Lonchura striata: one gene and its partners. The protein of the gene in region 2 purifies or fractionates together with the protein of the main gene of each other region. This does not show direct contact. Links are inferred from orthologs where the notes say so. Each region holds a gene or a part of one and is shown on either strand. Other genes may lie near its edges.

Evidence for each region.
Region 1: the proteins of H2AZ1 (region 2) and CHD4 purify together in Homo sapiens (affinity purification with mass spectrometry; 3 studies listed by BioGRID and IntAct, with this or other methods). This does not show direct contact. The link is inferred for Lonchura striata from reciprocal best matches to the Homo sapiens genes H2AZ1 and CHD4.
Region 3: the proteins of H2AZ1 (region 2) and MRGBP purify together in Homo sapiens (affinity purification with mass spectrometry; 4 studies listed by BioGRID and IntAct, with this or other methods). This does not show direct contact. The link is inferred for Lonchura striata from reciprocal best matches to the Homo sapiens genes H2AZ1 and MRGBP.
Region 4: the proteins of H2AZ1 (region 2) and TRRAP purify together in Homo sapiens (affinity purification with mass spectrometry; 3 studies listed by BioGRID and IntAct, with this or other methods). This does not show direct contact. The link is inferred for Lonchura striata from reciprocal best matches to the Homo sapiens genes H2AZ1 and TRRAP.

The regions. Positions count from the first base shown.
Region 1 is NC_134604.1:29,474,618-29,482,287, forward strand, and holds the start of CHD4 (chromodomain-helicase-DNA-binding protein 4), read right to left. Parts: upstream 3,006-7,670; 5' UTR 2,937-3,005; intron 2,428-2,936; exon of another isoform or gene 2,413-2,427; intron 2,156-2,412; 5' UTR 2,081-2,155; intron 1,266-2,080; 5' UTR 1,197-1,265; coding exon 1,100-1,196; intron 1-1,099. UniProt on the Homo sapiens protein: ATP-dependent chromatin-remodeling factor that binds and distorts nucleosomal DNA. Acts as a component of the histone deacetylase NuRD complex which participates in the remodeling of chromatin.
Region 2 is NC_134606.1:49,664,611-49,671,917, forward strand, and holds H2AZ1 (histone H2A.Z), read left to right. Parts: upstream 1-4,632; 5' UTR 4,633-4,743; coding exon 4,744-4,746; intron 4,747-5,088; coding exon 5,089-5,166; intron 5,167-5,556; coding exon 5,557-5,670; intron 5,671-6,123; coding exon 6,124-6,253; intron 6,254-6,400; coding exon 6,401-6,462; 3' UTR 6,463-6,794; downstream 6,795-7,307. UniProt on the Homo sapiens protein: Variant histone H2A which replaces conventional H2A in a subset of nucleosomes. Nucleosomes wrap and compact DNA into chromatin, limiting DNA accessibility to the cellular machineries which require DNA as a template.
Region 3 is NC_134619.1:5,558,600-5,566,232, reverse strand, and holds the start of MRGBP (MRG/MORF4L-binding protein), read right to left. Parts: upstream 3,011-7,633; coding exon 2,791-3,010; intron 1,910-2,790; coding exon 1,788-1,909; intron 1,249-1,787; coding exon 1,167-1,248; intron 666-1,166; coding exon 588-665; intron 1-587.
Region 4 is NC_134618.1:11,371,521-11,378,979, forward strand, and holds the start of TRRAP (transformation/transcription domain-associated protein), read left to right. Parts: upstream 1-4,444; 5' UTR 4,445-4,560; intron 4,561-4,748; 5' UTR 4,749-4,815; intron 4,816-5,335; 5' UTR 5,336-5,386; coding exon 5,387-5,486; intron 5,487-5,627; exon of another isoform or gene 5,628-5,771; intron 5,772-5,849; coding exon 5,850-5,899; intron 5,900-6,852; coding exon 6,853-6,963; intron 6,964-7,459. Other genes in the region: TMEM130 (transmembrane protein 130), read right to left, coding at 659-949, 3,435-3,510. UniProt on the Homo sapiens protein: Adapter protein, which is found in various multiprotein chromatin complexes with histone acetyltransferase activity (HAT), which gives a specific tag for epigenetic transcription activation.

The DNA of each region.
Region 1 (7,670 bases), on a different chromosome or scaffold from region 2:
CAGAACCTGGAGTCCCACGCCTGATCCCTGCCATATTCCCAACCAATGGATGTATCTTTGCTCCCGTGATACTGCAACACCAGGTCCTTCAAGGATCACACACCTTCTCCCCCAAGTTCTGATTTAGAGCCTCTAATGACCCACCCCTTCCAAGGTCTCCCTCAACCTCTCAATTTTGCAGTGATTTTACCAGTTTTTTTGCAAATAGATTTTCACTACTGATAGTCCCATACTGCCCAAGATCTCAGAGGTGCTGGAAAACTCAAGAGACAAGGCTTAAGAAAAAAATGCCAAACTAATAAAAATTCAAAACTCCACAGCACCATCTTCCCTCCTCCAGTTACATTTCTCATATATGACAAAACACTCCAGCATGAGTTAGTAGGAAATCCCACACTTGTCCTACAATTGACTATATACATCACTCCTTTTTCACAAGGAAGTGAAGAATCCAGATGCATGTCCACAGAGCAGGTCATCAATAGCAGCAACAAGAAAAAAAACGCAAACCAGAAGAAATTCCAGGGCTCTAACTCAAGCCTCATGTTGATGATGAGGATGCAAATACAAGGGGAAAAGCAAAATACAAGGACTAAAAAAAAGCAAAGGTGAGCAAGCAGCACGGAGTAAGAATCCTCAATAATTGGGTGTGGTGATGAAGGAAAGTGGGTCACGCAACAGCCCAGGGCAGTTTTCTCTGGACGTCAGCCGGTCTTAGTTCCCAGATGAAAGCAAGCCAGGCAACCTGCCCTTTCACATACTACCTCCTCTACCCCCTCCCCATTCATGAAAACTGAAAGCATTTTGGTACCCCGGTCAGAATTGGACGCTCTGCCTCCACCCTCTACACCTCCTCCAAGCACAGGCCCTGACAGCCTGCAATGGCTTGGAACAAAGTCAGCTCCACCTGACACAAAGCCTCGAGCCTCTCACTTCAAAGTAACCCTGGGACTCAGAAATCAAAAACATACGTGTGACTTGCAACAAAAAAAAAATTTAAAAAAAATTGCATTCCCCAACACATCACACACTTCACATATTCAGCTTGAGACCAACATTATCCCCACTGCACATGCATGCCCTGCAGGCCCCCCCATACCTGGATGCTGGGGGATAGCGTTGTTCAACAGGATCTCCATCTCATCATCATCACTGCCCCCTGAGCACGGTGATGGAGATCCAATGCCCGAAGCCATGTCCTCCACACCGCGGGAGGCCTGGGCTTACACAGGTTTTCTGTCGTCTTCTTGCCAGCCTGGCCAGTACTTCATTGAAAAGAAAAAGAGAAAGTTACAGCAAACCTGAACTCCGTTCTCCCGAGCAATAGTGCAACTAAGAGGATCTGTGAGAAAGCTTAGACAGCAACTTTACTGGCTTTGGAGCCTATGGATAACAGAATCACTGGCAGCAAGTATCAGTTTAGAGTTGTGATAAAGCAGGCTTTGGAGACACTAGATATTAAACTGAGTCAGCAACTCATCGCTGGCGAGGAAGCCAAAATAGCTGTCCTAAAGGAAAACTCTCCCGTCCTCTGCAGCCGGGTGCCCTCGGTTGTTTCTGCCTTGAGCCAGGAGCGGGCAGAGGGGCAAGCAAGGCAGCCGGGCTCGCGAGGGAGCCCCGGGGGCAGCGCGGCGGCTGTCAGCGCGGAGCGCTGGCCGGCAGCCCCGGGCTGGCACCGCAGCGCCGGCCCGGCCGCACACAAAAGGCCGGGCGGGCTCGGCGCCCCGCTCGCCGCCCCCGCCCGGAGCGGGGCCGCGCGGCGCAGGGCGGGGGCGGGGGGCACCGTCTCCCGGGCGGGGGCGCGGGGCGGGGCCGGGCAAGTCCGGCGGGCGTGCGGCGAGGGGCCGCCGTGCCCCGGGGCCGGCGCAGGCCGGGACTGCGGGCACCGGCGAGGCGGCTGCGGGGCGGGAGGAGGGGCCGGAGCCGTGCTGCGGCCGCCCGGGCAGGGGAACGGCGCGTAACCGGGGAAGCCGCGGCCGGAGCCGGCGGGGCGGCCGGCGGCGAGACGCGTCTGCCGGCCCGGACGCCCCAGGAGGCGGCAGATGGCCTCGCCCGCCCTCGTTCCCTCCCGGCTCCTCACCCGGCTCCGGACCCCGGCTCCTCTCTCGCCGCTGCCGCCGCTGAAGGGAAAATGGCTCCGGCCGCGGCACCGCCTCTTAAAGGGGAAAAAAACCCGGCTAGGCCCCGCCCCCTCCCGCCTACATCCCATAATATGCCCCAGGACCCCGGCAACAGGCCCCGCCCCCGTCTCCCCGGCAAACACACCCCCCCTTCCCCCCCCCCCCCGGCATCCCATAATACTCACCCTCCCCTCAGAACTTCCCACTCACTGCCCGGCCCGGCATCCCATAATAATCGCCACCCCTCCCGCCGGTAACATCCCATAATACTGCCGCCCCCCCCCGCCCGCACCTTCACCCCGAGAAACATCCCATAATACTCCCGCAGGCTCGCACCCCTCCGCTCCGCATCCCATAGTGCTGCCCCCCGCCGAGGAACATCCCACAGTGCTGCCCCCCGCCCCGCGCGGGACCCCGGGGCACGGCGCCCCCCCGCGCCTCCCGGGGCTGCCATCCCATAATAGGCGCGTCCCCCCTCCGGCGGGGAGCGCGCGCTGTGGGGACCCCCCCCCCGGAACATCCCATAATAGTCACACCCCGAGCGCGCACATCCCATAATAGTCACACCTCCCCCCTCACCCCCCCCCCCCCCCCCCCGCCTCGCGCCCAGGCAGGCATCCCATAATAGTCGCCGGGAGTCACCGTCCAGCCCGGCATCCCATAATACTCGCGGCCGCCCGCCCCGCTCCCGCACCCGCGGGGCTCCGCCGCCGCCCCCCGCCCGCCCTGCCGGCACCGCGGGGCCCGCGCCGCCCCAGCCCCCGCTCCGGCACGGGGCACGGGGCCGACCCCTGGCACCGCGCGGCCGCCGCGCACCTCCCGCCCTCCTGCGCGCTGGCACCGGCCCCGGGCACAGGCTCCGGGCACCGCCCTCCCACCGCCGACCGCCCCCGACCTCGGGGCTGAGCGCCCCGCTCGCTTCCCTGCCACGTCCTGCCGTGCCCCAGCCCGCACGCTCCGCCCGCCAGGCCGCAGGACCCCTCCAAGGCCATCCGTGCCCGGCGGTCACCGCCACCGCCAGCCTGTGTGCGGGGAGCCCGCAGTGACTTGGGTGCCTCCCCTGCACCCCGAGGCTTCCTGGCTGCTGGTACCTGCAGAACTCCCTACCCCAGAGATCCGCATTCTCCCAGGCAACTAGAGACAGGACGAGAGCACGTAGTCTCAGGCGGTGCCAGGGGAGGCTTAGGTTGGGCATCAGGAGGAATTTCTTCATGGAAAGGGTGATCAGGCATTGGAATGGACTGCCAGGGAAATGGTGGAGTCACCATCCCCAGAGCTGTTTAAGAAAAGGCTGGATGTGGCACTTAGCGCCATGGTGGTGTCTGGCCAAAGGTTGGACTTGATGATCTCAGAGGTCTTTTCCAACCTAACTGATCCTGTGATTCTGTGATACACGCCATGTCCATGTACCGCATTCCTCCCTGTCACCCAGCACCCTGCTCCCTGCTGCAGCCTCCACCAGGAAACGCATAGATTTGCACAGACGGGAACGGTCCCTCGGTGTAAGTATACTCCAATTATACACATGCAACTGTATCATTAATTTCCCATTAAACAAAATCACATCCCATAATGCCGCCTTATCCTCCGCTGAGCATTTTCATAGCACTATTAATCTCAACAAAGAGGTGCAGTCCTGTCCGTCTCTCCCAGTAAAATGTGTGGGTGTCAACAACTGCGCTCGTTGCCTCCGCTGTCCCACGCCTGGTGGTGCATGTGCACGTTTCGTCCCGCCACAGCGAAACACGCCGCAACACAAGAGGAGGATTGGCTGTTTACAGACAGCAACAAGTCGCTTACAGATCCTGCAACACAAGCCGGGCTTTGTCTGCTAAAGCTCACTGAAAATACATCCACGCACACAGGTGTTCCATAACGCCATCCCATCCCCTCGGCCGTGTGCCGAAGTGGCTCTGGCTATTGGCAAGCTCTCCCTTACCTGCGCATGAAGGCTCCGACCACCGCCTCGCACTGGCAACTCTGCTGAGATACCACCAGGCTCCACCACCACATCCATGTGCCCATCTCCACTGAGTGCTCCCGCAGAGTTCCACAATGCACAGTACGTGTGCAGCCACTCCACAGCACGAGTTGCGCCTCCCGTGCCCTTGTTCCCGCCTCTCAGCAAAGACTAGACCAATACATCCCAACAGGCTGTTGTGTAATCCATGTTCCTGCACATACAAAAATCCCACCTACCTCTCCAGCCATCAGCAGCACGCACCCTGTACTATCCCTGTACATACCTTTGCCCACATGACAATGATGCTCTCATTTATCTCAGCTCCATGGAGGAAAAGTGGTAGGAAAGAGCACACTGCTCTTCCAGAGATGCTCCATCCTTCGCATAGATCAAGCAGACCATCCAGCGCTACAGAAACGTGTGGTGGACGACACCACCACCAAACTCACACGGATCTCTGCAAGGACTTCTCATTCCCTCTTGTGTGTGCTGACACAATCCCCTCTTAACAGGAGCCAGGCAGACAGACAAATTCCCGAGCTGAGCAGCCCAGCACCGACCAGTGCCCATGAATTCCATATTTGCCTCTTTCCCCAGTGGCTTGGCCACAAGGGGAGAGGTGTGATGCAGATGAAGATGAAGATCCTGCAAAGGGAGTCAGGTGCTGGGGCTCTCTGCAGGTGATTCCCAAGGCTCCTGCCAGCATGGTTATGGTCTGAAGAAGGCTGTTTGCTAATGGTTTTAGGCAATGTGTGCCCCAGTGCCTCCGAAGGCTCATTCCCAATGAGCCACCACCTCCCTGAAATCTTTCTCTGCATGACAAATTAGTACATTTTTATCCCAAGTGTACCCAAGGTTCCCCACCTCAGCTCCAACTCCTTTTTTCCTTTTTAACTTGAAGTTTCTTAGTCAGCAGAAATCTTAATTTTCCCTCAAAACAAAAACTCCATATGGGATATACATGATTATGATCAAGATGTTTCTACTGTTTGTGAGGGCCAAGTAAATTAAATGGATTAAATATATATATATTTCTAAATATTTTCCTTTGATGAGGAAAGGATAGATTTCCATGAGATAGATTTCCAGTTATTTGGCTGCTTTAAACTTGGAAGTTGCCATACCTTACTGTGGTTCAATTACTTACCCAGTTTAATTGAATCTTTTGAGTTTATAGCACTTGGCTTGGAAACAATTACAGTAAGATCTGTGTAATTCAATCTTACCCTACCTGTGCTGATGGGTGTCAACACCCCAAAACAACCCCCCAGCATACTTCCCATGGGGAAAATGCCTGCAACATCTTGCTTTGGTGTTGCGCCCGTGTTGGGAAACCCAAACTGGCCAGAGGACCTTCCACACACCCCTGCCCAGCTCTGCTTCCAAGAACTGGGTAAAGTGGACTCTGTACTCTGCGCTCCCAGCAACAAGCTGGGGTGACCTCTAAATAATGTCTGTCATTTTGTGTGGTCTAAGTTAGTCAGGGTTCAGGTCCCTGCACGAGACCCAGAAGAGTCCTGCCCCATCCTCCTCTACCTTGTGGGCAGCTGCCCCTGTCCAGGCTTTTACCAGGCCCACAGCCCTTTCTCACTTTCACTTTTCATTTATGTTCCCTTTTAAACATCTTTCCCCAAGGTAACAAGAAGAACAAAGCTTTTTACATTGTTTCACTCTGGAACTCAGGGTTGTAGGCTGGAAAATTCAGTCCTGTGTATTTCAGTGCTGCTCAGTGTGGACGCAAGGGAGGAAGGAACCCCAGAGCATTTTGGAAAGGGGGAGACTCTCCAGCCTAGCATGGACCGTTCGTATGTGGGACACAGATAACAGACTACAAGCTTGCCATGCTGGTGCTGCAGACAATGTGATCTGAAAGATCGGTTTATGGTCTTTCAGGCTATTTTTTGTCAGTTCCTCTTGCGTTCCATAACAATTCAGACGGGTTGATGGGTTTAGATGTTGGGCACCGCAATGCTGCCACTGTATTGCTTCATTTGTGTGCTGGGACACAGCCATACTTCTGTTCTCTTCATTTTTGCTGTTTTTCAGACTGAGGGTTGCTCCAGCCAGTCTGTAATATCTCTACTGTCAAGTTACATACAACCAGTAACATGAAAAATATCTTTCAGTGTCTGCGTAAAACTGGCAGCCCCCGATGTACCTGTGAATGTGGTGCTGTTCTGAAAAGGCTGCAGCTACATTTCACCTCTTCCTTTAACCTAGTTTTGACTGTTTGTATCTAATATGGATGGTCTTACTTCTCATGTCTGCCACTCAGCAGCCCTGTAAGCTTTCCAGATCATACTGAGGCTTGCCATGACTGAACTAAGGTTTTGCCACTTCTGCAAAGGAACCCTGAAGATCCCAGCATTTCTGAGAAGCCTTGCCCTTTATTTTCTCTTTGGTAAAGCAGAGAATTTTGCCCTAGATAATTTTTTTGAGTGGAGAGTGGGTATCGAACTCTGAGATAGGTAATTTTTACTTTGGAATTAGCAAGGAAAAGGTTCAAACTTTCATTCAGTATCTGAGTATTGTCCCAGAATCTGTGTCTCTTCAACAACCAAGTCTCCCTGCCCCCATTTTAAACTATCTTGTGAGAATTCTGTATCCCCAGCAATAGCCAAAGTAAATGTTCTGGATTCTGCAAGTCTCCCCCAACACTACAAAAGCTTTTTCCTCTGCCCAGGATACACTTATCCACTCCCAGCTTTCTACAAAGTCTCCATGGCAAGCTAAGGAAATCTAAATGACCAATTTTCATTGTTGTTTTCTTCATCATGCACCCCCTTCTATTTTTCCCCCCTTATTTAGTTTGAGTGAGGTCTTTTTCAAAGAAAAGCATGAGCTTACTTGTTTAACCCAATGGAAGTATTTTTACTTTGTCAGAAAATGACACAGGAAAGTCTCTTCATCTTGTGGAGAGAAGACAGCCCTTCCTGTCGTGTCCAAGGAGCTGCTCCTTCAGTAGACAAATGCCACTGGAACAAGAGACAGATAGAGACTTGCACACAGAGGATTTTGGAGCATACAACCAGAATAAGGTCAAGAACATGTGCTCCTTTTCTGAGAACATCCTACTGTCAATGGAGGATCGACTCTCTAAACAGCCACCTAGGTGAGGGCTGCCCATACGCCAGCGTGACTCTGCGTCTACTTCCCGTTAGGGGAAGAGCATTTCAGACTTCGCTCGGCACTCGTCATGAGCCTCGTCTCCTGTTTTGCCAGGAGAAGGAGGGGGCAGGGAGAGCAGCGTGGCCGTGCCGCACCGTGTCAGCCAGATGTGCACGGTGCAGCAGGCAGCGCTGGCTGCACACAACTGTGGTGGGGGAGAGACAGAGAGGATTGGGGGTTGCTCAGCCCCCTGGAAATCAGAACGGCTGATCTCTATCTGTGTGCGCTTCGCTGGTTTGTTTGCTTTAAAAAACATCACATACTTGGTACTGACACCTATAGCTAAGGTTACTCGATATTTTCCATCACAAGTCTGTTTTCAGTTACTCAGAACTTTGCCAGACATCAGATAGTCAGATTCGAATTTTCCACGTTTATTTTCACTTTTTTTTTTTTTTTCTGAAGATGGAGGCACTTAG
Region 2 (7,307 bases):
ATACTGAACAAAGCACAGATAAGAGGAAGCAAAGCACACAGCAAAAAGAGAGTGTTGAAGGATAAATTTCTGTGTAAGACAATGGGAAGGATGAGGTTAAGGAGTTCTGGCTGTCACCATCTTATTTCACCTTGCCTAACTAGCTGTAGTTTCCTTTCAGAGCTGGCTAAACAAGAACAAAAATATTAATACAGTTTAGTCATTACGACATTATTAATAGCAAACAGAAAGGTGTACCATTAACACCCTATAGTGTGGCTATAGGGGTAATTCAAGTCTTCCTGAAATCAGTACACAAGTGTTATCTGCAGAACTATTACAGAGACTTGTATTTTGTTACAAGTATAGAAATTTATCGGAAAAGAAACCCTCCTGCTTTCCAGTTGGTCCTCAGAGGCGCTAGGTGCAGTTAGGTTTAATTTTTTTATTATAACCAATTCAGCACTGTAAGCCCAGCTGCATTCAATAAGATCCCACAGGCACCAATACAGTGGGTCTCATTCACAACCAGAGATTCACAAATCAACTTACCAATGAAACACTCTAAGTCTGGCTGGGTTCAGAAGAACTCACACAAATACAGGCTCACAAACAGTTGTGGAACAACAGACTGTAATTCTTACAGATTGGCAACTATGGATTCATTAGATGTGCAAAATATAAATATATAGTACTATGTACAAGTACTTCCAGGTATGTTCTAGAGGTGCAAATTTTACAAAAGAGGTATCCCAAATTTCGGGAAGGAGAGAGGAGTAAACTCTTGGACTTGTCTGCAAGGTAATAGTATTTTCAAACTCTGCCATGGAGGATTTCAAATACCAAATCACATTTTTTGGAGAAGTGGAAGTGAGAATGTAGTCAAATATTCTGTTAGCTGCTATCACAAAGGGGAGGGGTAGACCCTTTATACCTAAATGAGGAATAAAGAGAGCTATAAAAAGAGAGATTACAAATGCTGTATGTCTTAAGCAGGGGCAGAACAGGACTGTGACACCTAAGTGTTACTCCCTCTTCCAGCTGGATTGCAGTGATTAGAATCACCTACAATCTACAGATAAAATAACCTATCCCCCCAACGGCAGGCCAGCAGGCCCATGGTAATCCCTTCACCACATATCTCACACCAATCTCATTCCTACAATGTGTGAAGCTGTTTAGAGATAACAGATAAATAGCTATATCTATATATGTGAAGCTGAACAATCGAATCCATTATCACTACAAACAATACAACAGTGCTGGCACAGAGGGTGGGATTTTCCTGAACCTAAATACAGCAGCCAGCGAGGAGACCCAACTGAGCACAAACCTGCTATTTGACAAATAATAACAGGGGCAAATACAAGTCATACAGGAATTAATCTCACCACAAAAACTAGAGCCTGAATAATTTAAGTGGTGTCTAAAAATAATCCCTTACGAACTATATTACTCACCTAAGGGGAGTTGGTTCAAAGTTTAGCATACTAAAACCTCTGACTAAAAACTGTGTACTAAAAACTTAACTGCTTAGCTGTCACCTAAAAAATTAATTTCTTAAATGCTCTCTGCCTAGCTTTTGAAGTTCCACAGATATCCAGATTTGTATCCTGGGAATACCATGGCAGAGCTGAGCACCTTGACATGTATCTCCCACTTAAACTTATGCAGGATCCAGAAACTGTAAAGTTCTGAAGGCTGTGGTACAAAGAGATTTCTGGGAATGCTTCATCAGCCCACTAAAGATGATCTCCACCACTTCTGCAGAAATTAAAATTCTGCAAAAAATGAATTCAAGAAAGTCCAAATATTATCATGTCCATAGCCCAGTACTTAGAGAGGGCTGAGAAGTAGTACCCGCTTTAGAGAATTTGTTTATGTTTTTGAGGCAATTTGAAATAATAAGGAAATAATACCAAGTAGTAGGCAGAATAGAAAAGAAAACAACACTATACTCCAATTCTAAAGTTCTGAAAACCCAGGCAGGTGGTTGAACAAGGCAGCAGCAGCCTGAATGCTGGGCCGTGTGTGATCCTGCAGCAAAAGCAGCTCAGGCACAGCCTGCCCAGCACAGACAGCACTGCAGTGCCCACACAACATCAGCAATGAGAAGCACCGGAAAAAACTTCACAGTAAAAAAGCTGGGGCACAAGTGCTGGGTAAATGATGCAAACATTCACCACTGTGGCCTTCAAAGGGAAGACCCTTGGAGATAGGCTTTCAGTACAAATATTATAAATATCATTAGGAACATGGAGCTGGTGAGTACTCCCTTTGGCTCCTTTTGTGCATGTGGGATTGAGGTTGAGTTATTTGCACTCACAGCTGGGTCTGAAGTTGCTTTGGGATTGTTCCTGTGTACCTAAGTTTGTTTCAGTTTATCTCTTTAAATAGCAGAGAGGGGAGTTCAGGTTGTGCTCGTGAGAGTATCTTGCTAGCCAGCATGAGGCGATCTGAGGCTGGTTTCATGTACTCTACCTGACCCATCCCTAGCCTGATCTGTGTGGTAAATATATATCCTTGCTTTGGTTTATCTTTGGTGCTAGGCTGCCTTGCCTGGTAATCCCAGCTGTAAGGAGCTCCAAAGCAGCCAAAGTGAGCTGTGTGGAAAGTTCATGTGTGAAACAGGGAATGTCTGTGGCAGGGGTTGTCTCTATCTGATAGGAGACCTTCTTCCTCTTCCTAGGACTTGTGTGGACAGAAACCAAAGAGAAAAATAATTTTTTTGTTTCTTCCTACATCTTGAATGGTGTTCCACAAGGGTATGATGGCCTGCAACTTAGTTCTCTTTTCCTGCATGGTAAAGGGCACATGGATCCTTGATTTTCAACACAAATAGTTTTTAAACAGCATGCTGAATGAAATCTTAAGTTCTGCAGGCTTTTGTAAAACCTTGAGGTTTGTTTTTAAACCAACTCTCCCCTCAAAATCCTTCAAACCCTCTTATCTTTTTTTCTTGCGGAAGGAGAGTATAAACAACTGATGATTCAAATAGACAGAAGCACCAGACAGTTACATAAAAACAAACTGCTAGATCCCTGCATGTAGGAGTGTCTGCTCTCAATTCAGTCCTGCCTCTCTGTGAATGTGCCTGGAAGTAGGTCTCCCCACCCAGAGATGATAGCAGCTGGGATTAGATGCCCGAAACAGGGTGGTGAAGTAATTGATGATGTGGCCTTAGGCTGTGTAGAGATTCAAGCAAAGGGTCCTTTATAGCCAGGGCACCAAGTATTTGCAGTCAGATGTGGGAGAATAAGAGCCACAAAGTTTTAAATCTTTTCTACTTGTGTGAACAGCTTGAAAGACCTTTAAGTGAAGCTCTAGGGATCAGGACATATCCTGTCTTAGAGCTCTGAGTACTTTGGTTGCTGTAGACCTGAATAAAGGGGAAAAGTTATGGTGTAGAGAGAATTCTCATGAGAACTTTATGCCCTCAGCTCTACGTCCCATTAAATGTCTGGCTGTAAGAGTATTCATTGTGCTCAGGACCCTTCAATATCAAGGCAGAGGAAATACAAACTACAAACCCAAAGTGGTGGGTTTGTGATCAGGTTGGTAAACTGCATGACTGATCTATCTCGTCTTCTCTCTAAAGAGCTGCTCAGCCATCTGAAGGCCGAGGTCTCTCTCTGAGCTCACTGCATGCTCACAGATGAACAGTAAATCTCTCAGATAATACAGATTTACAGTGTTCTGGAAGAGCACAGTGAATTGTTACTTTTTTGAAGCTGAAAATATAGGATTAACCAAAAACAGCATCAGCTGAGCTCTGAGGTTAAATGGCAATATACTGAAAATGGCAACCCAAAAAAAAACCCAAATGGGTTAAGGCTTCATTTAAGGAAACACAGGCAGGGATTTTGAAGTGCCCAAGGTGAGGAAATTTGCACTGCATTAATTGTTACACTTTGAACATAATTAATGATAAACTGCTTTTAACTGTAGTTTGTGAAATATCCGGTGACACAAGGGTGTCTGAGGCTGGGTGGTCCTAGGTATTGGTGCATCCCCTGCTTATAATAGGGGTAAAAATAAAAATCAGTGCACATGTGTAGTGGTTGGCACTTCTCCAGCCCGGAATCTTGAGGAGTTCATGCGAGCTTTATTCGACGCCCCTGAGCAGCCTCGTGTCCTCGGCAGTGTAATAGCTCCTCATCCCAAACGCGGGACAGTGTCCTTCGGGCTGCTCCTGAGGCGCTCTGCACACAAAGCCAATTAACTCCACTGTGGAGAGAAAGCTTCGCCGGCAGTGCGGCGGCTCTGGAGCGACCCGAGTACAGCGGGACCTGGCGATACAGAACCCCGCGAAAATGAGTGGAGTGACTCCGGGCAGGGTCTGTGCCGCCGGTCACCCCAGGGAGACCCAACCTCAGAAGGGGGGGCCGCCGCCGAGGCGAAGGAAGCCCGCACACGGCGGGAGCCCCGACGGAGCGCGCCCCGCCGCCACGCCCCGCCTCGCACCGGCCCGTGAGGGCGGGGCTTCTCCGCTCCCCGCCTCGCGCGGCCGGCCCCGCCCCGGCACGCCATTGGTTGTCGCTGGGGCAGAGCGGCCGCCCCGTCCGCCGCCATTGGCTGGCGGCGAGGCCGGAGTTCCCGGATGTGGCCGCGCGGTGCGGATATAAAGGGCCGGGGGAAGGCGGGAGTGGGCGCAGTTTGAATCGCGGCGGGTCGAGTCAGCTTGGTGCTGTCGGCCGGGCTCGGTGCGTGCGGGACGCTCTCTGCTTCAGCCTTCCCCTGCGCGGCACTGCGCTCCGGTTCGCTATGGTGAGGAACCGCGGGGGTCGCTCTGGGGGTGGGCGGCGGTGCTGGGGCCGGGGCGGCTCCGTGCCGCTGATGGTGGGGGGGTAAACCGCGCGGGCGCAGTGGGGGGAGGGCGGGGGCGGCTGGGGGGCGAGGGGGTGGTCGCACGCGCAGTGGCGCCCCGGGGACGGGGGAGCGGTGGCCGCGCATGCGCGCGGGGAGCGGCCTGTGCCGCGCGGTGCGGCAAGCGGCGCGCACGCGCCTCGCGGCCGCGCGGGTGACTGCGCCGGGAGGGGGGGTGGTGGAGGGGCGGGGCGCATGCGCGGTGGGGGACGTCAGCGTCTGCTCTCCTCTTGGCATTGCTAGGCTGGTGGGAAAGCCGGGAAGGACTCTGGGAAGACCAAGACCAAAGCAGTGTCCCGTTCCCAGCGGGCTGGATTGCAGGTGAGCAGGGGCTGAAGTGTGGGTGAGTGAAAGTCAGGCTGGCCTTCATCTGTTGGTTTGTTTGTGCAGTGTGAAACCTTCACACTCTGCTGTCTGGCTGTTGCCTGGAATGATATAAGGATTGTAAAGCAGACATCAGCACACCCAGCTGGTTTTAGACCGTTGCATATCTGTGCAGGGAGGAAAGTAATTCCCTTGTGGCCATTGCTATGTTTGTGCTGAGAATCATGAAAGTTGCTTATGTGAGTTCGGCATGCAGTGTCTTAACTGTATTCTCAAGGTTTGAAATGCAGCCTGTGCTTCTGCCACTGGGATTCTGCTGCCCACAATGGGGTTTTGTGCAGAGCCTTTCTGTCGTCACAGCCTGTTCATACTTCCATTATTTTCCAGTTCCCTGTTGGCCGCATCCATAGGCACCTGAAGTCTAGGACAACTAGCCATGGGCGTGTAGGAGCCACAGCTGCTGTGTATAGTGCTGCAATCCTGGAGTACCTGACAGCTGAGGTAAAATGCTTGCAAGGGGTGCAAGCAAATTGATCAATCCCCAGAAGGCACAACAACCAGTGCCTACTGTATTTGACATTTTGGACTGGGTTGCGAACTCTTTGTGTGCTTTGAAGCACTTCTAAAGTGTCTCAAAAAGCAAAAGACCATGAAAAGTAACTCCTCTATATTTCATGCAAGCCCTGCAGCTTGCCTTGTAGGAAAAATGCAGTGTGTGAAATAACTTTTAAAATGGACCATTACAGCATGTCTTATCTGCTGTAGAAGACTTACTCTGTCATTGGGAAAACTAAATGTGAAGCTCCAAAGGAGGAACCCCTTGAAAAGAGACATTGTTTTCTGTTTTGGTGTTAATGGCAGTGACACTGTATTTGGACGAGAGAATTGAATAGCTAAGACTGTGCTGTTGGTCTCACTTGATTGTATAACTGTTGAAAAATGGTCTTGTCTCAGGTCCTTGAGCTGGCAGGAAATGCATCCAAAGACTTGAAGGTGAAACGTATCACTCCCCGTCACCTGCAGCTTGCCATTAGAGGAGATGAAGAGCTTGATTCTCTGATCAAGGCAACAATTGCTGGTGGTGGTATGTCAATACTTGCTGTTTATGGGTGCTTGGGTGGCATGAACTCTCACAGACTTGAAGTTCATTAGTGTTGTCATTTTATTGGAAGTGTGAAGTTTAGGAAAATTGAAGAAAAACAGCATGGTCTTAACTGTTGTTCTTTTTTAGGTGTAATACCACACATCCACAAGTCTCTCATTGGCAAGAAAGGACAACAGAAGACTGTCTAAAGCATACCAGGATTCCTTGTTATCTCAGGACTCAAAGTACTTAATTTGTCCAGTGTTGGTGATTCCAGTGGACTGTATCTGTGAAACACAATTTTGCCTTTTTTTAACTTTGAGAAGCTAAAGCTCCCTTGAGCTTTCTAACAAACCAAATTTCTGCGTTGAAGTCTTAACCATATTTAAGTGTTACCATGGCTTCAAAGAAGCTATTGTGTTTGTAGTGGGTTGTAATTGAGCTGACTGTTTTTAGATTGGCTTAAGTAAAGGAAATGTTTGGTTTTGTACAGACTTTTCATCTACTAGAGTGGAAATAATAAATGTTATGTCAAGACTGATTTGTGTCTTTCATTAACTGGAAAATCTGGTCTCCACTGTGCTGCTCTTGAAGTTGTTCTGAGAGCAAGTAACTGACAACCCTTCCTGCTGGGCTTGGGGCATCTTGAAATACAGCCTAAGACTACTGCAGCCAGTAAATGCCATGCAGTGAAAGTGCACAGGGCTTTGTCCTGTGAAGTTACATTCTTCCTAATTGAGCCTACTGTGCCATGTGCTGAAGTTTTCTTTAGCAGGGCACATAAAAGGCTGATGTTATTTAAGGCCAGTTTTAATCAGTGTCAGCCTTTGTAGAGGGTGAGGGTCTGTCACGGAGGAGGGTAAAAGATAAGTTTCAAGGGCTGTTTAAATTCCATGCTTCACATAATTTCATGTTAGGGTCTGGCCTCTTACTGTTTCAGCTTGCAAAAGCTTTGGCTAGACACCCACAAAAGCAGGGACTGTACTGCAGCAGCCTTTTAAATTGTGCCATGCAGCAAAAACCTCAGTAGTGGATTTCAGGGGGGGGTCTGGGC
Region 3 (7,633 bases), on a different chromosome or scaffold from region 2:
ATATAAATATGATGAAATTATATAGTTAGCAGTTGGCTTGGTCTGTTAAGATAAATAGCAGGATCTCTACTGTTCACATTTGACTTGTTCTACAGCGAAGTGTTAGGAAAACAAGCCTTTTATTTAAAAGCAGCAAGATAATGAGAATAAAATAAAATAAGCATTCTGCCCACCTTCCCATTTCAGCACGCAATTTTACAATCTCTTTTGATTTATAGGCCCTATTTCCCCCATGACTACAAAGTTCCAAACACAGAGCATTTAAGTTCAAAAAAATCAGACTCAGCTTTCTTCCAGAGATCCTCAGATTCCTTCAGACTCCCAGGGGTTTGTCAAGTACATATTAAAGCAAAAAATCTCCAAAGCTATACAACTTTGTACAGATGAATTAGGAGCAAAAAAAGAAATCTTTTCAATAAGCAGCTGCTTACTCTGTGCACTATTAGTCAAGTTCTTAGCAGGAGCACAGGCTAAGTCTGAGTACAAATCACACAGTACACTGCATTTGGATTTACATTTTAACATTAATTTCTCAATTACAGTTGGTTTTTAATCTCGTATTACACAGTAGAGAGTTACAAAATTACCTTCTTCAGGACCTGCATGCGTTTCCATCTCTTCTTTTAAAACTTCCTCTTTCACTTCTTCTTCCATCATTACTTTTCCTACAGAAAGGATTGTTAGCATTAGTTAGATGGTTTTAAAGAACCACGTGAATTTTTTCTGGATTAGTAGCCTCTGCATATTTGTATGTTTGCAAATAGTCCATGCAACGCTCAGCAATAATTCAGTGCCAGGAAATTATTATTAACATGAGAAAGTGAAATGCTGCATGGGCAAAACATATTGCAATGTCTTATCTGTGCTAAGATTTTTCACTGAATTTTTAAAGTTTAATGTACCTCATAATTGAGAAGCATTCCACTGAAGTTTAAAATATCCCAAGAAGTCTTTGGCAGGTGCTTGAATTTTCTAGTTCTTACTTTGTATAACACACATCAGCTAAATTTCAAAATCCTTCTCTCGCTGTTCAACCTGAGATTTCTGTCAAACTCCTGTACATTTCTATTAGATTTGACAATACATGTTTTCTGGGGGGAATTTTGTTAAAAATTCTGAGATGAGAATAAAGCAACCAAGAATCAGAGCCTGCAATCACATCTCACCTTCTCTCACTTCTTGAATCATTTCGTCAGGAAGAGCAAAATTCTTCTCTATATTAGGGAATGGAAGAATCTCAGATTCATGCTTAGAAAGAAAAGAAGGATCTCTGTGAGTGACTGGTAAAGACTTTAATTTGAATTTTGACATGCAATCTCAAGTTCTATTTTACATGCAATTAGGAGCTATATAATTTTTAACAAGACACTTCAGATGTTAGAAAATCAGGAGGCTTCTAATATCAAACTGATTACTGAGGTCAGGATACCTAAGATCACAACTCACCATCATCTGAGATCATTTTTGGAACTCAAACATAGCAAATTCTTATGTACACAATGATAACATTCTCCTTTGACACTTATAAATGTATATCAACATTTTCTGGATCAGAATTTAGGTGACTTTAATAAACAAAGTCAGAACATGGTATCAAAAAAAAACCCAAAAAAAGCCACTGCAGGCTTTATTGTCTCCTACCTAATCTACTTTTATTCAGGGAAAACCCGATCAACTCACTGGAATGACACCTAATTCTAAGTACCATGACAGGCCCAGTGATTCTGGCCTGGCAAAACTTCTGAACTCCATGAAACCATGTGGCAGCACCAACCCTATATACTCACAAGAGCCTGCATATCATACATGGTGCTCAGATGGTCCCAGATCACTTTGGATGAGATCTGCCGTCCGATATTCTGGCTGAATTTATCCCGGATGCAAATCATGTGGAAATGGCGATTCACACCTGGGGGGAAGAACCCAGTGCAATTAACGCTGCTAACAGTTTTAGTTATGATACTTAGAGATATAAAGAGATTTATTTATTTACTTATGAATTAAAAAAGCTATGTTGTTACAAGGAATCCATACATTAACAGGAGAGACAGCTGGCAGCGGGGTTGGCTGATCTTTCACCCTACACTGCAGGTGCTGTTCTCTAGGGAGCTGCGGGTGCCCCTGTGGCTAATTCTAACACACACAGAGTTTTTAGAGGGGCTGTGTGAGAAACATCCCAAGGGATGTATAGGGAGTGCTGTGCCCAGTTCTGGGCTCCTGACTGCAATACAGACACAGAGCTCCTGGTGTGGCTGCACTGAGAGAAGGAATTGGAGCATCCCTCTGACAATGAAAAGGAGAGAAAGCTGGGTCTGTTCAGTCTCAGAAGAGATGTCTAAGAGGGGATCTCAAACAATGTTTATGAATTATTGTTTCTGAAAAGGGGGGTGCCAAGAGGATGGATCCAGGCTCTGCTCAGTGGTGCAGAGCAATAGGACATAAAGCAACGGGCACAAACTGATGCACAGGAAGCTCCACCTGCATACAGGCAAGAACCTCATTACTGCGAGCACTGGAACACACTGCCCAGAGCGGCTGCGGAGCCTCCCTCGCTGGATTTATCGCAGGCCGGCCGGCACACGGCGCTGCGCCGCGTGCTCTGCGGTGACCCTGCCGAGCCGGGCCCGCGCCGCCCGGCCCGCTCCGAGCCGCCGTGGAGGCGCAGCGCGGCCGCTCGCACGCCGGCCCGGCCGGGCCCGCCGCTCCCTCCCGCCGGCCCCGCGGCCCGGCCCGGCCGCCCGGAGCCCGCGCCCGGCCCCGCCGCTCCCGGAGGCCGCGGCCCGCGCTCACCTACGGGCTTGTGGCCCAGCATGGCGTGGAACAGGCACACCTCCACCTCCGGGCTCCACACCACCGCCGCCTCCTCCGCCGGCGCGCCGGGCTCCGGGCCGGCCGCCGCCGCCGCCGCGGCCGCAACAGCGGCAGCGACCGCCGCGGCCGCCCCGGGCCCGGCCGCGGGCAGCGGCGGCTTCTCCACGGCGGCGGCCGAGCCGCCCTCCGCCTCGCTCATCCCCGCCGCGCCGCGCCCGCAGCGGCTCCTGCCGGCCGGGAGCCGGGCTCGGCCGCGCCGGGGCCGGGCTGGGGGCGGGGGAGCTTCGGCGGGGCCCCGCAGGTTCGGGGGGGCTCCGCCGGACGGGGAGCCCCGCGCTCGCAGCGCCGGAGCCCGCGGGCGGGCAGCACCGGGCGGGCAGCGGCGGTGGGCGGCCCTGAGGAGCGGCGAGCCCGCGGCTCTGCCCGGCAGGAGGCTCGCGGGGTTCTGGGAGCAGCGTTAGGGAGCGCTGGGAAGGGCCTGAGGGAGCGCGCTGCTGTGTCAGGCCGCGCTGCAGTGCCCGTGGGCTCCGCAGGGCTCGGCTCTGCGTTCTGAGAGCCCTGCGGCTGGGCTGGCGGTCAGCCCGGCTGCCTCGGCCACCCCAGGGCTTCCCCTCCTGGTCTGTGAGGTCTTGGCCAGCTCAGCATCTATCCCCATGGCCTGTCCTTGTCTGGCACGAGGAGCTGCCACGGTGAAGGATGTCCCAAGCACTGCAACCCCCCTGACTGCTCCTTGACACAACAGGATCGTTTTATATCAAATACCAACCTGGCGCTGATGCTTAACAAATAACTGTGCCTGGCTTGGTTACAAAATGCAGAACCTACCAGCTTTGCCCATCTTTTAAGATGTAAAAAAAAAAAAAAATGTTTGGGAAGAAAGGGAACGTATTACTCCCTCGGCGATAAAGGGTTTTTGCCTTGTTAAGTATAATTAGACACACAAGCATGAAATAGGACTGCTGTTGCTTAGGTGATAGGGCTTTCCAACTGCTCACTCCTCACTTGAAGATTTAATCCATTTTGTGACATTAAAAATATTTCAACAGCAAATAACGATCGCGTCATATGCAAGGAATGAGTGTTCTGAGTGAATAATAAAGCAGTGGGGGCAAACACTCACAAGCAGAGATATTATTTTCATGCAAATTATCCAAATAATAAAAAGCAGGAAGGGAAATATGCAATTTTCTGTAATTGAACTTTCTGTACCTGTTCATACCCAAAGAGCTGACTCGTATCATTGTTTTGGGCTTGATGTAGTTAATACCCCACACAGGTTAATCTAACATTAAATAAACATTTGAAATAAATTAAGCCCAGAACCTCATGTGTGAAGCCTTGAGAAGTTTTGTTGTGTGAATCCTGGATGTGGATGCCTGGATACAAATCCTCTTTTCCAGTGGGGTTTATTCTGGCCTCTTGGAATGGAAAGGATTCTGTGACTCCAGTCTGGCTTTGATGCTGTTGAAGTTCTCCAGGAACAGCTTTCTCTGAGAGCTCCAGAGTGAGCAGAGATCTTGCTGGAACAACTTCTCTGCATCAAGACCACAGGAATCTCAGGATTATTCCTTCTGCCTGCTGTCACTGCTGTACCTGTGTCCTGGCTGTGCTGGGTCTGCCTTCACACAGCTCAGGCTTCACACCGATTTCCTCGTTTTGAACCAAAATTACCTATCCACAGGACTTTGCAAATCTCAAAGACAGCTCCTCATGTTTTTGCAGTTAAACCCAGCCCTAAATCTCAGCCCTGTTTAATCTTCCAGTTTTTATTTGATCTACACTGCTGCCTGGTCTTCAGCTGCTACTGAGAGAAAGGCTTATGATTTCCTGTGATGGTTGCACAGCAGGAGGAAATGATCTCCTGCACAACTAAATCCCTGTTTTCATACATGTTTCTGTATGAGGGGAGAAAGGAAAGCAAATTTTCAGAGTGTAAAAATTGTTCCCCAGTAGAACAGTTTTCAAAGTTTTGCAGGCATAACTTATTTTTAAGCCTGTGTGAGACACTGAGTTTCAGCACTCATCTGTCACATTATGCTCCTACTTAAAGACATCAAGAGGGAATAAGTGTGTCAACTCAGACAGCAATTTTTATGTCACTAACTTCTGATGGCTAAAAAAAGTAACATGAAACAGAGTATGAAAAAACTGATGCCTACCTCTGAAAATAAAACAGCATCTGAAAACAATTCAATTCAGTACAATAATATTAGTGCAACAGGAGCAGTATGTGCACAAACTGGCTGCTATTTTGTTTCAATCAGAAATAATTTCTGTGTGTCTAAATTCCCTTGTCACATTCAATGCCTCTAGGAAACATATGGGAGCCTATAATAATGCTACGTACAGCCTCCACCTGGATCTTGACCAGAGTTTATTTTTTTCCCTCATTAAATTTGACTAGGTTGGGGTTTTTTTGTGGGTTTTTTTTGTTTTTTTTTTGGTTTGGGTTTTTTTTTGTGTGTGTGTTTGGTTTTTTTTCCCAGTCAGTTAACAGATTTTTCAGAAAAAATTGCACTTCTCCCATTCAACTTTAAATTCTACTTTTGGGTTTAAGCAGATAAGGGCTGTGTAAGAAGTGCATGATTTTATTTCTTCCTTTTTCTCCCTACTCTTTAGGTTGCTTAAAAAACCTGGCTGGTTGTTGTGTCACCTAAGGGTGCTGAGCCCTTGGCTGGATCAGTGTTTCCCCCACCAGAAGATGATCAGTAATTTCCTAAGACTTTGCAACAACTGAGAAATCTGCCTGGCATTTGGCATTCTCCCTAGAAGTGTTGGATTTCTGGGATAAGCAATATGGCTACAACTATTTCTGTCGTTATTTTAGAACACCATGTGCTAGTGCCCTTAACAAAGCAAAAATTTAATTCCAAATCCTGTAACTTTTGGTGTGCCTCATGAACATTTGTAAAAGAGTATCATCTGCCTACTTTTGCATTAAACCAAATCTTTTAACCTTTTCTGGGGGTGGTTTAGAACTTCTTGAATAGAGAGTCTAACAGGTTTTTTCTTACACAGGTAAGAAGTACATGCAGAAGTACATTTTTCTGGAGCTTCTTCCTGCAACAAATTCCTCTCAGATCCATAAGTCCTCCTACAAAATAAGTAACCTCCATACCTTGGCACATTCCAGTATTTCTGAATAAAATACCCTTTATGACTGAGGAGGACCTCCTGAAGAGAGAGTTCTGATGAGATTTGTAAGCTTTAGCTGTACTTTCAGAATCCATTTTTTTTTTAAGTGTGAAATCTGTGGGAAAATTTGCTTTAACAGAGCTGCCCAGGGAATTGTCCAAAACTTGGAGCTTGTTTATTTTACATATCATTTAATAAATCAGTGAAGATAGTTTGATATGGGGATGGTTTTCTCCCTATTAGAAGATAAAGCAGTCTGTTGTTAGAGTCTTATCACAAAGCCCCTTAGAGCAGCATTGCCTCTTCCAGATAATTACCTTTTTTCTTTGCTTAAAGGTGTATTAGATTATATTAAACAAGGACATTGAATGGAAAATTCACTCTCAAGATCTGCTCTGCACGGCTTCTTACAGGTGCAAAAGAGGGAATTTAAATCACAATGAGGGTGAAGCAGCAAGGCTGAGGGCAGCAGCTGTCAAACAGGGGATCCACTCTGCTCCAACATATGTTCCCAAACTGAATTTTTCCCTTGTGATCATTTGTGCTCGTTCTCCCAGCGGAGAGAAGCTTCATATTAGGTGGGCATCAGATGGCAAACGTTGGCAAAGTAGATGAAAACAGTGCAAATAATTATCTCTGAGCATGCACAGAGGCGTTTGTTACTGCTGCTGTTGTGCTTTAAAATATCCCAGCACAGAGGGGATTGGAGAAGGAAAAGCCATTTACTGATTTTTCAGTTTGATAAATCCATCATACCCCAGGCTTACAGAGAGGCAGAAAGACGAACCAGTGGATTTATAATGAACAAGCTCAAGGTTCAATTGAACATTGAGCACAAGGATCAATTCCTGAATCCTTGGCTAGCCCAAGCCTACATCAGAGTATGTTTTACTGAAGGTGATTTTTACTGATTGTACCTGCCAGCAAACTAAAGTCCCATTAGCCCAGCTGGTCCGGACAGATCCAGAAGGAATTCCCTTCCTTGACAGTTTCAACATTTGATTAGGCTTGTTCAGCTCATCCTTTCTTCTCAGGGGCATTTAATTTTAATTTTTTTTAACTACAACTATTAATTTGTAAAATAACAAAGAGGCAGCATGGGCAGAGAGGATCTGCAGAGGGGAAGCAGAGGAGCAGTAACCCTGCCTAGCTGGCACTGGAACCGCAGCCACACTCACTGTCGCTGTGGCGGTGGGTGGCAGCAGATTTTCATGGAGCACGTCTGCTCCTTTAAACACGCACAGAACCACTCAGGGGTCTGGGAGATCCTCTTAGAACCCTTTTTTTTTTTTTGGCATTTGGTTTTGCTAAGGGTATTCACAAGCATCTTTCAGCAGCATCATGCCTTAGGCTGCAATGTGTGGGCGATGCCTGAAGTTGTTTCCTAGGATGGATCCGAAGCAGGGGCAAAACTGCAGCCACAGCCAGGCAGGCAATGCTGCAGGAAACAGCACAGAAAGCTGGGGAAGGAACAAGTCCGCTTGAAATCTGGCTTGCAGTGATGATAAATCAGTAGAACCAGCCAGGTCTAAGCCAGGTAATTTGTCAAGGATTGTCTGAATTTGTAGAAATAGGTCTCTAAAGTCGGTGTGTCTCTGAAACAAGAGTTCACAGAGTTCTACTAACTGGATCTTTTTTTCTCAGTGATTATGGAAATAAGTCCTGTCCCATCTCCTGTTTTGTTTTA
Region 4 (7,459 bases), on a different chromosome or scaffold from region 2:
TTGCAATTAGTGTTGGAATGGCGCTGTCAGTCCCTGAGATTTAGTTAACCACAGCACACCAGTGGTTAATTTGTAAATAAAAAAACATATGCATGGTTACGAATACTCCCAGAAAACTGAAGTTGCACTTAACAACATTTAGAAATGCAGCCATGATTTCAGATACAATTTCAGTACACTTGGACAGAGCTTTAAAAGAAAATGTAAAGCTCTGCTGTGCTGATGGCCTAAGATTTGCTGTGTCACGCAAGAGGGAAAAGCCGTAAATTGGCACTGCTGATGGTCATCCTAACTTTAGGTCTAGAAATGCTGGAAGGTAGAAGAAGCATTGTTCTAGGAGTTTGGACATCACTGACCCATGCTGATGTGTGAACTGCAGCTGCTGAAGCATTGGATTCTAGTTCAGTTTCTCTAAGTGACAGAGGGAGGAAAACACAGGCAGCATCACACTTTCTTCCTGGGTATAGAGAGACTAGAGCGTGGCTGTAATGGTACTAAGTGCACCATGCCACCCAAACCCACCTTCAGCCACAGGCCTACGAATCAAACTCTGTTATCAGAAGCCATATTTACACTGGCTTTCTTCCTGATGCTGCAAGGGCATATATACTGAGTTCCTGGAGAGGTACAGGCTGTGAAGCCATTTTCCCCATTTTACCTGTAATCTGAAGCACCGTGATGTTTCTTGCAATCGGCCGACACAACCAACAGTTTTTGTGAGTCACCCAGACAGACACGGGGAAAGTGCCAGGGAATTGACCAGTCACATTAATTATGGAATTAAACTGCTGCTCTGATTTCTCTATCAGAATCAGAGGAGCATAAACCCAGTTAAAGTGATACCAGTTTGATGTGACATTTTCATTCTTCATTCTTAGCCTGGCCTGAACAGTAGCTTGAGCTCCCGTTGTGATGGGACCATTGTTGGTTATTTCCAGACTATACAACTCTGTGGAAAGCAGAAGAAAATGAGTAAACCAAACCTTCTTGCATGGCATTTTAAATTTCATTTATTTAGCGTTATCATACATTTTAGCTAGTCAGCTCTAGTTATATAACTCACAATGACACTCATCCCAGAAAAGACTCTACCACCATAATTTTTTACTGTTTAAATATTTGGAACAGAAACAATTGCATGTGTATATGAGTTCAAATAAATAGCAGTTAACAACATGTCAGACTGGGTCCTAGAAATGTTCATAGTAGAAGACAGCTTCAGTCTAGAACATCACAAAAGCATTGATGAGGTTTTATACCCAGAGCTGGGTGCTGGCTGTAGGTTCATTGTCACTAATGATCTAACATGATCACTAGATTTCCAGCTACTGGAAGAGGCTCAGTGTCCTAATCTCTGTCCTAAAAATGTAAGCTTTCAAACTCAGGTGAGATTTCATTCACTAGATTCCTTTGCCAGCTCTATTGAAAAGTTTATATAACTTTCCTCACAAGTAAGCATAAAAAAACTCAGTAAAAGCATTTTATGTGCTATGGTCCACCTTAAATTTCCTTTTCCAGGGAAGGACCAAAAGTCCCAAGGCAAATAAAAGATGTACCATGCCGTAGTGGCAGATCAGTTGCTGTCCAGAGGGACCTGGACAAGCTGAAAAAGCGGGCCCATGGGAACCTTATGGGGTTGAACAAGTGCTGCATCTGGATTGGAGTAACACCTGATATTCAGTACAGACTGGGGGATGAAGGGATGGAGAAGGACTTGGGAGTACTGATGGAGGAAAATGTGGACTTCAGCCAACAATGTGCACCCAAGAAAGATATGAGGCTGCATAAAAATCAGCCAGCAGGTTGAGGGAGGTGATATTCACAATGAGGGTGGTGAAACTCTGGCATGGGTTGCCCAGTATAAACATTCAAGGTCAGATTGGACTGGGCTCTGAGCTACCTGATCTAGTTGCAGATGTCCCTGCTTGTAGCAGGGGCTTGACCTTGATGACCTTTAAAGGTCTCTTCCAACCCAAACCATGCTCTGATTCTATGACACATCAAGTCATGAGAATGCAGGACCTGTGATACTGAACCAGCTCTGCTGCTCTGAATGACTCACCATTATCTTCTCTGCCATATTTACTCAAATTACTTACTTCAGATCTTGAACTACTGCAATAGACAGTGTTGAGTTTTGTGGAAAGAATACATTAATTTTTTTTTTAATAGCAGCGCAGAAGCATTAAAGAATATGCATGTGTTAAAAAAAAAAAAATCAACCCCCAAGCCCCGAAACAAAAATAAATGCAAAATAGCTGTAAATTGGGACAGAGTTGGGAGCAGAGCAGAGTTGGGATCTGGTTGCTTGCCTCCAACGTGGAGCATGTCACTTCCCTGTATCAGAGTTCTGCCTGGCTCTCCTCTCATCAGCAGTGCTGGGCAGAGCAGCAGAGCTGGAGGGTTCTAAGGCAGATGCCTTTCATTATCCTCTCTTTCAGCAGCCACCAGACTGCTACCAGGGACCTGAATCTCTGACCTTTAGAGACTGTATTTCTCACTCATCCATTACCTCTAATATGAAGGGAGAACTGGGGCTAGCTAACTCCTACACTGGCTTTTCTGCACCCATCAGCTTGGGATGGGATGAAAGAGATGGCATTTGTGCCTGCATTTTATTCTACAGATCACAGGTGTTGAACAATTCTGGAGGCAGAAGAACTGTGAGAAATGAACTTTAACACTACTGTCTGAGAAAAAACTCCACTGTTCCCATTTTACAGCACAAGAAATGGCCCTGAGTTCCATTTTCTCAGTTAAAAGAGAAATGCTTGTGATTTGATGTAACCTGGCAGAGGGAGGTTTCCTGTCTCTAGAAGATTCAGGCTATGTTCCACTTGGTTTCAGCAGAATTTGGGAAAAAAATAGCCGACTACCTCATGCTTATCTAGCACTTCTCCTTGGAGGTTATCACGGTGCTTTACAAATCAGGGCCACACTGGCCCGACAGCTGAAGCAGCTGGAGGTTCAGTGGCTAAACCAAGGTCACCCAAGGAGTGACTGGCACATCAAAACACTCCATCCAATTCAGGGATTTCTCCTGCCTTTCGGACCTCTCTGCAGAATGGAGCTCTCCGAGTCCCACAGGCGAGGGACAGCAGCTGCCCAGGTGCCTTGTGACCCGCGGCGCGGGGTGAGCGGGGGAAGCAGACGTGCAGCTTTTGGGTTAGCAGTGCAAAGCAGACCCCCGGCTTCCCGGGATGCCCCCCCTTCACTGCAGGCACCAAGATCGCAGCGCCGGAGAATAAAGTCTGGGGTGGTGGGAGCGTGCCCAGAGCTGCTTCCATCCCTTGTCACATCTATCAGGCTCGGGCAGGGAACCACTCCCACCCGTGATGCAGCTCACTCCTGAGGTCTGTGCCCTCTCCCCGAGCATCCCGCACCCCTCGCCCGCTCCGCAGCGGCGATGCCAGCGCAGACCGGCGGCTCCTTACCTGCGGCCGGGGAGCGACCGCGGCCGAGCTGCAGCAGCATCAGCAGCATCAGCAGCGCGCGGAGCAGCCGCCGCATGCTGGCGGCCGCGGGGCCCGGCACCGGGGCCGGCTCTCGAACCGGGAGCGGTCTGGGCGCGCTGGGCCGCGCTGCCCCCGCGGCGCTGCGGCTCCGGTGTCCGCGCCCCCGGGACGCTCCCCCGCGGCGGCGCCCAGCCCGCCTCTGCCGGGGGCAGTTCCTGCGGGATCGCGCTGCCAGCGCCGCCGGGGCCAAAACCGCCGGCGGTTTAAGCAAATGGTCAATAAAACCCACAAATGCCTCGCATCTGCTCAGGGCGTGAGGACATCCCGCAGCGTTTGGGAAGGGGTTTGTGCTGCGCCTTGGTTGCGGCAGGCACAGATAAAGTATTCCAGTGCGGCAGCGCGGGGATGCCTCTGCCGGGGGCAGCTCGGCCGCTGTTAGCGGTCCCGCGGCGCTCCGAACGGCCTGTAACGGGTGCGCTGCTGGAGAGAAGCCACAGCAAAAGCGCCAGAATGTGGTTTACTAGTGTGCTTTTTCTGTCGTTCTATTTTGTTTTTTCCTGTTTTGTTTTGTACATTTTGGTTTTGATTCGCTTACTTTTATTTTTTTTATTTTCTTAAACTCAACATCCGAAGCCCTTTCTCGCTCCGGGCCGCCGTTCTGTTTCTTGCGGCGGATCAGCCTTTGCGCGCTTCGTTTTCCGGCGGTGCCGCCGCTCCCCCGGGGCACCGGCGGGGCGGAGTGGGCCCTGCGCTGGCCGGAGGCACCGGTCACGGCCGGTAAATCCTCGCCCGCTCTTACCGGAGGCCACTCAGCGGAGCCTCGGGGGACGCGGGGACGGGCGGGGCTCGCCTCAGGCAGCGGCCGCCGGCAGCGCCCAGCCGGGGCGAGCCCGCCGGGGCGGGGCGGGAGTCCCGGGTCGGCGGGGGTCGCGGGCGGCGCGGCGGAGCTGCGCGCCCGCCTCCGCCCGGGGAGAGGCGGCCCCGGCAAGAGGCGGCCGGAACTGAGCTCGGCGCTTCCGTCGCGCCCATGCGCTGCCGGCGGCCTCCGGGAGCAACAAAGGAGGGAGCCGGGGGGCCGCGGGCGGGCGGCCCGGGGAGCCGCGGGGTGAGGAGCGCCCCGGTGGGGCCCGGGCCTGGGCGCGGTGAGCGGGCCGGGGAGGCGGGGCCGGCGCGCTGCGGGCGGGAGGCGGCGGCCGAGCCCCGCCGCAGGCCTGGGCCGAGCGCGGCGCCGGGGGGGCTGAGGGGCGGCGCGGAAAGCTCCGCCGCGGCCGCTGACGGTGCCCGTGTCCGCAGGGCGGAGATGGGCTCGGCGTGACGGCGGCGGGGAGCGACCCGGGCGAGCGGCGCTGCGGCGGGGAAGGTGAGGGGCGTGGGGTCCCGGCTGGGCCGGACCTGGCCTGAGCAAAACTGATGGGGAACCCCCAGGGGAGGAGGGAGGTGGCCGGTTCCTCAAGCTAGATGTGATGTGGGCTTCTTTACGAGCGGGACAGGCAGCTTGTGGGGCAGGAGAGCTGCTGGCGGCCCGGAGCGAGTCCCCAGGGTGTGTCCCAGGGGAGCTGTAAGTGCGGCGGAAGGCAGGATGCTGACAGGTGTGCGCGGTGGGAGCATCCCTGAGCCTGCAGCCTGCTGCTGCGAGAGAGGAATCCGAGCGGAACACGTCAGTGTTCGTGCCGAGGAGAGCTCAATAACCCTTTTATCTGTTACTCCTGTCACGATGAGTCCTGTACATGCTTGGTGTTGTATTTGTAAGCCTAAGCAAAGGTTACAGTTTTTGGAAAAGGTGGTCCTCTTCAATATGTCAGAAGAATGGATGCAGGTGATGGGATAGCTGCTGTTAACAAGCCATGTAAACTGACAAATAATTCTATATTCTTTTACAGGCGTCTTGATCTTGATTTTATGTACTGAAAGCTGATCTTTACTCCGCCAAGATGGCATTTGTTTCAGCACAAGGGCCCACAGTGGTGGACCAAACCACTTTGATGAAAAAATACCTTCAGTTTGTGGCTGCTCTTACAGATGTCAATACACGTAAGAGATTTTTTTCTTCTTGAAAAGTGCAGCTCTTCAGTGGTTTGTTTCACAAGTGTTGCCAACTTGTTCAGACAGTTGATGAAAGAGACAGTGAAATCTGTCAAATTAACTTTGAAATTTGTTTGAGTTTTGGTTTTTGAAGAAGCAAAATGATGAGAAACACTTGCATGAGCCGAAGTGAGTGAGTTGTGTGTGTGTGTGCAGTCGTGTGTGCTTGTTTGAGAGAACTGTGTGTCTTATAATTGGGCAGTGATAGCTAAACTGATAAGATCTGATTGCTTCTTTGATCAATGAGTTTGTTGTTTTCCTTCATGGCCTAGTTTTACACTCACATTTTTCGGCTTGAATTTCCATTTTCAGCTGATGAAACCAAATTGAAAATGATGCAAGAAGTCAGTGAGAATTTTGAGGTAAATAAAAAGATAATAACCCCAAGCAACAAAACTCCTACAAAAACCCCCTAACTTTCTGCAATGGCAGCCTTTCTTATGCCTCATGCATATTAATTGAATTTCTGATGTTATGCAGTTAAAATATTAATAGTAGCATCCTGTGGCTAATGATATGGTTACAAGTCATTGATTCTAGGTTTGTAGTTAGGAATGAACCAGGCTGTTGAAGAATTGCATTTGGGCTTAGTGAGCTTTCATTGCCAAATATTTATTTATTCATTAAGCATTTAAATAAAAGTGAAGTAAGACATTTTTCTTCTATTTTTTGAATGCTATGAAATGTCTGTATTTAAAGCTTTCTTTTATTTAGTTCAAATGTGTATTGTGCTCTTGTGAAACAGAGGCCCTTCTGATTCCTCTGATTATTCCATGGTGTGGAAGTGAGAGAGGAGTTGTTAGATGCAGAATCTGACATCAGGAGTGGAGATGTCTCCAGTGACATCTTTTGCATGGTGGTGGACCATCTTTTTAGATGAGCAGCAGAGAAAATGTGAAAGTTAACCCAGCCTCGTGTTAGCAGAAACTATTCTTTAGTTGAATTCTTAATTGTTATGTGCCTGTTCTGAAATTACAGAAAACTAAAATCATACTTGTGGGGTTTTTTATCTGCTTAAGCTATTTCTAAAAAAAATTATCTGATGAAAATAATAGTTTTAACTGCTTAGTCTGGTGATCTGTTAGAATCTGAAGACTTAATTGATTCTCGTTGCTCTTCCCTTCAGTAGGGAAGGACTTGTATTTGTTTTGCTAATGTTCACTTGGAGCTCACATGGTTCTGTAGTGTCAACAGATACTTAGTCACTGAATCTATTCAGAATTCACGGAAAACGTTTAATAGTGGCTTTGAATGTAACTGAATGTAATCTATGTGATGTCTGTTTTATAACCCCTCATTTTTTGTTCTTAATTAGAATGTGACATCATCCCCTCAATATTCGACGTTCCTGGAACACATCATCCCTCGGTTTCTCACCTTTCTACAGGATGGGGAAGTTCAGTTTTTGCAGGAGAAGCCAGCACAGGTTAGTTGTGTGGAGCATCTCTTGCCTTTTTGCTGTGAAGTTCTGATTAACCTAATGAACTGATTTAAGACTTGTTAAAAATAGATCTGTCATTTGCAGTGGAACTGAGAAAGTCAGGTTTCTAAATAAGTTACTTATAAACTTTGCTAATCTGGGCTTCTGTGAAATAGGAGGAAAAGTAGGTGTAACAGAGTTGGCTTTCTTACTGAAATATTACACATCATTGCAAATTACTGACTTTACTGAAAGTTAGGAATGAAAGGAGAAAGTTGAATCTTTGTCATTAAATATTTAAAATTGCATTTCTTAAAAAAAGTCTGATTTTACAACTGTAAATTAGTTAAATTTGCCTCTTTCACATAGGTGGATAGTAGGAAGAGTTATGCCTTTGTATATGTCTACATGAAATAAACTGGCTTTTTTTCTGTTTTCGCATGCACAATTATTAAGCTGAAAAAGATGCTGCAACTAATTGTTGGGTTTTGTTGGCTTTTCA